Linked DNA regions of Ovis aries. The protein of the gene in region 2 interacts with the protein of the main gene of each other region in a pairwise test. Links are inferred from orthologs where the notes say so. Each region holds a gene or a part of one and is shown on either strand. Other genes may lie near its edges.

What was found.
Region 1: the proteins of FYN (region 2) and SKAP2 interact in a two-hybrid assay, tested with the Homo sapiens proteins (2 studies listed by BioGRID and IntAct, with this or other methods). The link is inferred for Ovis aries from reciprocal best matches to the Homo sapiens genes FYN and SKAP2.

Annotation. Positions count from the first base shown.
Region 1 is NC_056057.1:70,716,395-70,720,141, forward strand, and holds the start of SKAP2 (src kinase-associated phosphoprotein 2), read left to right. Parts: upstream 1-913; 5' UTR 914-1,072; coding exon 1,073-1,139; intron 1,140-3,747. UniProt on the Homo sapiens protein: May be involved in B-cell and macrophage adhesion processes. In B-cells, may act by coupling the B-cell receptor (BCR) to integrin activation. May play a role in src signaling pathway.
Region 2 is NC_056061.1:25,879,521-25,883,267, forward strand, and holds the start of FYN (tyrosine-protein kinase Fyn), read left to right. Parts: upstream 1-1,227; 5' UTR 1,228-1,679; intron 1,680-3,747. UniProt on the Homo sapiens protein: Non-receptor tyrosine-protein kinase that plays a role in many biological processes including regulation of cell growth and survival, cell adhesion, integrin-mediated signaling, cytoskeletal remodeling, cell motility, immune response and axon guidance.

The DNA.
Region 1 (3,747 bases), on a different chromosome or scaffold from region 2:
CCGTTTCCTATCTGAAGAAAAAAAATATTTTTCTTCTACACACACAGACACACACACACAGACACACACACACACACTGTTTTAGAGAAAATCTGTAAGAAGATTTAGAGCTAGAAGACAGTAAGTAGCTGATGATTAAACTCAGTAAGTTTGCTGAGATTATACTCAGTACATATCTGATGATTAAACGATCAGGTTGCAATGAAAACATTTTATAATTCCGTTTTAATGGAATTATAGCAATTTTCTCTTTGATGCTTATAGGTGGACAGTGCTATCTATTTCTGTTTGTAACTAGAACTCTCTGCGCTTCCTAGTACGGGAGATCGGTCACCCTCCAAATCTGAATTACGTAGTGTAAGAGCCAATCGGAGCGCTCTCTGGAGCAGCTCCGGACAGGCCTCTCAGGGAAGACTGGCGGAAGATGGGACTTTGATGCCATCATGCAATCGGACAAAGAAGGCCTCAATAGTTTAGGGCGGTCGAAAATTTCATCTGGGGTGCTGCGCAAAGTGTTAAACCTTGGCGGGACTGATTAAAACCAGAAAGTCTCTCAATCGGAAAACCTGGACGCACCGCAGAGTCCTTATTTTCTGGGACCGTGCAGAAATGGTCAGCACTTGCGCCGCTACCAGTGACCAAAATGGCCGCAAAGCGCTTCGGGCGCGGAATCAGGTGATGCAGCCCCAGTCCGCTCTTTCCCACCAGCCGCTCCTCCCGCTCCACGTAGCGGTGGGTGTGGCCTGCCCTGAGGCTCTTCTCGGAGGCAGGGAAAACCTAGGGATTACACATGCGCAGTTAAGGCCCCTCAGGCCCTTCGGACCCCTTCCCCGCCCCCCGCCCCTCCCACCTCCCCGCCCCGAATTGCCGGGCGGGGCTGGGCCGAGAGTCCAGCAGCTGTGGCTGGGGCTTCAGTGACTTCCTTGTTATGAGCCTCGCCTTGGCAGTGTCCGGACTCTTAGCCCCGCTGTCCTTACCGGGATAGTCCGAGTCTAGATCGCAGCCGCAACCCTAGCGGGTCGGTTCCCCTTTCAGCACAGGTCCTTTCCCCTCACGCCCCGAGCTCCCTAACATGCCCAACCCCAGCAGCACCTCCTCTCCCTACCCCCTCCCCGAGGAAATTAAGAACCTGTTGGCAGGTAAAAAGCGGGAAGGGGGCGGGTAATGTGGCGGGGGCGGGGGCGCGGGGACGGCGAGCCGGCGGGGACAGAAGCATTCGGAGTCTCTACCCTCCCTCCTGGCTCTCTGCACGCCTCCTGCCCAGTGGGAACGGGACTGGGAGTGGGGAAGTGGGATGTGAGAATGGGAGTGGGCGTGTGTGTGGAAATTTGGTGCGAGGATGGTAGGGAAGCCCTTCTTGGTGGGCTTTACTAATGCGATCAGGGTATCGTGAAGATTGTGTGTGTGTGTGCGCGCGCGCGATCAGGGTACCTTGAAGACTGTGTGTGTGTGTCACAGAGAGATGAGGAAGGAGAGAGGTCAAAGAACTAGTTCTTTGGTCCCTTGGCCGATGGAAGAGAAAGAGATTTCTGAGCTACAGAGGTTAGGAGTTAGGGGTTATGGGACCACAGGGTTTGTCATTTCTAAAACTCCCATTTTCTTGAACATTCAGCCCACCCATATTTGAGACTTTAAAAGGGGGCCTGACTCTCAAATGACCACTTGTCTTCAGCCTGAGTAACGTGTTACAACACAAAAGGAAGGATGTGTTAAAGTCCAGCTTCCTGTGACGATGAATGTACAGTATTTCGTATTTGCACCCCCATCTTCCCCTTTTCAGTCTTGAGTGACCGTTTGTAGGAACTTAGGAATTAAAGATGCATTCTTCAAGGCTGTTACAAATCCACTGCTACTTCGTTATCTAATATGGGAGATGTATATTTTCGCTAGGGGCCAATAAAAACATATATTTCTGCACAACGTAGAAAATAAATCCTTTTCTGGGGTAGCAAAAATTTTACCTATCCTGATGCTCTGAAATTCTTCCCGTTATTCACTTTGTCATGTGTACATCAGAATTCTGAATATTGAATTTTGATCTAAAATTTTTAGTTTAAGTATCTTTCAATATTGGTCATGAAAAAGTGGGTTAAAAGTTTCTCTTAGATGCCTATGATACAATTTGCTTATTTTAACTCTTAAAGCAATATTTAAAATGTGGCATTATATGTAGTTACTGTTAGAGCACTGTGAGACTAAATCTCTTAATATGCTGTTAGAGAAAATAAAATTAACAGTGTATGAATGCAGACATGTTTTGTGAACATGATTTCAGTGTTACGATGACTGCATTTGTTGTGGGGTAGTGATTTACTCTAAGAAATGCTTGTTAATGGGTACCATTGTGGGATATACTGAAAGAACCTTAGGGACTGAGTCAAGGCAGCTTTTATTCCATTCTATGAGAGTTTCAAGTGAGTGCTGATTTTATTTTAAGACAGTTAACATGTTTGTTGTTACCATGCTGGGATTCCTTGCTTAGAATATTATTTTACCAGGTTAGAGAACTGTTTATCATAACTCTAAAGAGAGAAGTCACCATTTTCAGGATATTTTAGGTCTGAATTTTTGAGTTTAAGAAGTAAAGCATAGACCCCCTGGATACATGCTTTTAAAGCTTGACAGCTCCACAGTAGACAGTTTGTAATCTGGATCCACAGGCGTAATTTGCAGATAGTATGATATATAGGTTATGAGACTCTATTTTCTGATCCCCATGGATTACAAGTATTTCATGTAGCCCTTACTTGTGTAATTTAATTGAAAGCTCAGGATTAAATAATACTTAAGTTATCTGCCATTGCTAACTTCATATATACTTTAGCCATTTCTCTGCTCTGTAGTCAGATAATACATAATATCTGAAATTAGCATTTCAAAAATAATCTTGACATTTTCAGTATCTCACATTATTGAAGTAAATCACATATTAAAACATGAAATATTAAGAACAACTATTAAAACATTAAACTTCTAGTAGTGACAAACTTGGCTTATACTGTATTTTCAAGAGGTATGGCTATGAGGAAATATAAGTATCTATAATGAGATATACTTTAAAGAAATGAAACAAGTGAACCAATGTTTTCCAGTTTTCTTTTTAAACTAGCCATTTGAAGAAAAGTAGTTAATGTTTTATGGCTGACTAATTAAAATATTTTTTTTTGTAGAGAAGTTTTAAAGAATAAGTGAGATCAGCAGTTTTATTCACATTTCGTTTTACTCAAGTGTTTGACTAATGGGGTATGGTTAGATTTAAAACTATTAAAACTATAGGAGAAGAGTTGGCATTGGTTTGAATTTTAAAGATATTGCTGGCTCTCCTGGTTCGTTCTTTGAAACTAAGGACATGTTGGCAGTGGTGGTTGTAGTTAACAGTCGAGTGCTCTTAGAATGAATGGCACTATGTTAGAATTCCAAGGCAGGAAAGATAAAGAACTAACTTTTCAAGCATTTAAAATCCCTTCAGAAAGAAAGAATCAAAGCAAAAGATATGCCTATCAAAAAAAGTGTTTGGATAGCTCCCATTATGTTCTATGTTCCCTTTATCCAAATTGTTATGTCACTCAGATGTATTGAATGTTTGACATTTCAACTGCTTGATGGAGGTAGGTATCAAATGTATTCTTATCAATTTATTATTTTCTCTCTTTTATTTTTCCTTCTGATTATAGGAGTTTTAGTCTTTCTTTTCAATGTTTGTTCCTCCTCCTTCCTATTCCTTTCCTTAAAAAATGCTGTAGAAAT
Region 2 (3,747 bases):
GTATTTGAAAACTACAGTCAAAACTTAGTGGGCAGGAAAGGTAATATTATAGATTTTGAACATAGAAGCAGATGCCAATTCACTTATATTTCTCAGAGCGCTATATTTTGCTGAGGGGGTAGGGTAGGATTCTTGCCAAAATCATTAAGAAGAATGAATCTGAGCATGCCTTAGAGTAGAACTTTCAGTAAACAGGAATTACCTATAAAGAAAATCAGGAAGCTGAAGTGTTTGCTTTTTTTTTAATGAAGTTACATCCTGCCATAGAAATGCTGGATAGGAAATAAAGACTGATGCACTCCCAGTTGTATATTAAACCAGCTATTATTTCATCAAGGAAAATCTGAGCAAAAGCTCAGATTTAGAGAAGGAAAAAAACCACGGGAAGGCTGAATTCATGAGAAAACAAAGACAACCAATGGCTACAATTGAACATGCTTTTGGAAAAAGCTATACAAACAAACACCCACTCTGTGATTGCAGATTCCATAGTAGTCGCTTGCCCTCTCCACCCCTTACTCGTATTTCCCTAATACTTCCTGCAGACTTTGCTTATATATATATACATATATCAGAAGACTATCAGTTCATTCTAATTTATTCCGTTTTATCCCCTTCCTTTTCTTCCTCCCCCTCCTTATAATTACTGATAATATTAACCGCGCGTTTCCAGGTTTCTCTTTTTTCCAGGTTTCTGTGATGGGATTCTCCCTTGCTCCGCACTCTTCGGTTTGATCAGAGAAAACAATTTAATCATCCTAACAGTTTCCCAATTTATCCTCCCACCTTCAAATTAAAAGACAACAGAAAGGAAAGATAGCCCTTTCTCAAGGCAGGTTCCCATGGTTTTGAGGGAATGGCAGATGCCTTTCTGCAGTAGCGGCTGCAACCTTCTCCAAAGCAGAAACTGAAGCTCACACTCTCCTCTTCTTTCCTTACCCTAACCCACTACCTCAAGTCCACGTAAACCTTAAAAAACACACACGCACAACTCCTCCAATCTAGTATCCCCTCTCACACCCTTACACCACAAGCACGCCAGGATGCCCAATGCCACCGGAACGCTCTGCCCACTCGGTGGCCCCACCCATCGCCGCCCCGCCCCCGCTTCAACCACCAATGGTCGCCGCCCGCTGCTCCCGAGGGGCTCGTTGATTGGACAGTGGAGCCTGCCACTCTCGCGGGGCCTCCCGCCCTCCCTCACTCCCCGCTGGGGCTGGAGGGGCTGGAGCATCAGCGCGAGTAGCTCGGAGCAGCCGCGGCAGCGGCGGCGCGTCGTTGCAGTTGCGCCATCTGTCAGGAGCGGAGCCGGCGGGGAGGGGGCTGCCGCGGGAGAGGAGGAGGGGTCGCCGCGAGCCGAAGGCCGCCGAGACCCGCCCGCCAACCGGCCGAGGGAGCAGAAGAGAGGCTGCCCTCGGAGCCGCGCGTCCATCACCGCCCGGGCGCGCGGCGCTTCACCCCGCGCACCGAGGGCTCCCCAGGCGCACACAAAGCCGCCGCCCGCGCCTGGGAGGGATCCAGTCGCCGGGCCGGGGACACCCGGCGCCGCCCCCTGGGCACTCTCAGAAGGCCCACCGGCTCCCGGGCCCGCCGAGCAACCACCGGAGCCGCTTCGGCCGCGCCGGAGGAGGCGGGGAGTGGACCATGTGAATGGGCTCCGGAGCCTGAGCGCAGCGCAGGTAAGCGGCCGGGGATGCGCCGCGGGGCCGCGGGGATGCTGCGGAGATGCGGGCCGCGGGCGCCGAGCGCAGCGCCGCCCCCGCCGCGGGGCCCGGCGCTGCAGTCTCTTGGCCATCGTTGCCTCTGGGGCTCCCCGCGGGGCTGCCAGGGAGTTGGCCTTGCTTGGAGTCTTGCTGTGGTCGCTCCGGAGGACACCTCTGCGGGCTGCAGCCCCGAGGTAGCGCAGGGCTGGGGGGTCCATTTCCTCAGGGTGTGAATAGGGATTGGCTTGGGGGGTGGCTAGGCCGGCCCAGACTCCGCCTCCGCCCTCTTTTCGGGGCCCCCCGCGGGGACCCGGGCTGTGTGTGTTGTTTTAATGTCAGGGATGATGTAATCACTTAATAATTGATGCCCCGTGCTGCTTCCCTCCCCACCCCACTCCACCCCTGCCCCACTCCTCCACCTCTCGGCCTCCTCCTCCTGTGGCCGTCGCCTTTCCCATCGCATCCTCCAGCTTATTTCTGGCACCTCCCTTGCACTTCCCCCATCCTCCCCTCGACTCTTCCTGTGCCACCACCCACCCTTCCCCAGTCCCCCGTGCTGGAGCCTTAGCTCCTCTTCCTCTGACCCCTCCAACCCTCCTGCTCCCTCAGGCTCCTTTCTCCTTCCTTCTCAGCTCTCTGGATTTCCTCTCTACTTCCCTAGATCGATGACTGTTTTTGTTTGGTCGCCTCCCCTCTCTTATCTCTGCGGCCACAGGCGGAGGGGACTGAGCCAGAAAGAGGCCACCAGGCTTGGGCCTCGGCGGAGATTTGCTGGGACTGAGTGAGAAGAGGGATAATAAAATCACCCTTCTCGCCCCTCCTCCCACCAATAAATCACACAGACTCGCGGGGTGTGTGTGTGTATGTGTGTGTGTGACACAAAGAGCCCTTTCAGTGCACAGAGAGGAGACGCATAAAGTGCCCAAGGGTGGGCGCGATGCTTCTTGTTTCTCTTCCCTGGGGCTTCCCTTTTGCTCAGATAAAGCAGTTGATCTTCTCTCTGAGAGTCTTTCCTGCCACATTTACCAAAAAATAAAAGGCCCCAGATGCAGGGTGGCAGGTGCTGCCGTTTTGCTGTATTCATGGACCGGTAGTGTTGACTGGCGGCTGCAGTACTTCTTAGATTGAAGGGGGAATTGATTTCAGCTGTCTGAAGAGTTGCTTTACTCTCAGGGTAGCACCCTCCCTTGCCCAGTTTTAACTCCCTTTCATGGTAGGGGGTAGGATACATGGGTGTGGGAGAGGGAGAATTTTGTTTCCAAAAGAGAGTTATATTGATGTTTGCTAGGAGTGAGGCAGCCTAACTTGCTTCTCTCAAGTCTAAGGAGGACTGAAGTCATTTGAAATGAAGTCTTGTCCACCCAGTGATGGTTGTTTCACCCTTGTATTTAAAGAAGCTCCTGGGGACATTGCTAACACAGCAGTAAGTCGGTATTTGGAAGACTACTGGGGACTGTGTCTCTCTTGCCTGCTTCAGGGTACCCTTCAGACAGCCACTTCCTTCCTCTCACCGCCAAGCCACTGCCGTACTTTCCACCCTTTGTGCTCTTTCTCCCAAGTCCCTGCCCCTCTGCCCCTCGGGTCCTGTGCTTTCAGACAAGGGACTGATTTTTGGAGGAAGTGGTTTTGTTAATTGTCTCAGGTGTTGGAGGCACTTAGCTATGAGCGAAGAAGGTAGAGAATCTTTTGCCTGATCTCTTAAACCATCTGCTTGATGTTCCTCTTAAAAAGGAAATGTAAATGTAAATCTGGGGGCTTAATGTTCCATTCTGTAAGCCAGTGACTGTTACATGCTTAATCAATAATGTCAAAACTTAGGTCGAACCCATTGATTCCTAAGAGCATGGCTCTTTGACTGTTATAAGTAATAGAACTGTCTCAAGTTCTTCAAGAATTTTATTAGAGAAGAATTGTTATGGTTCATTAAACATTTACTCCTGCACTTTCTAAGGACATTCATCTTGGAACATTTTATATTTTAAAAAAAGCAAAAGGGTTAATGAGGGTAGTGTTCAAAACAAAAAAACAAAGCCTTGTTTGTTTG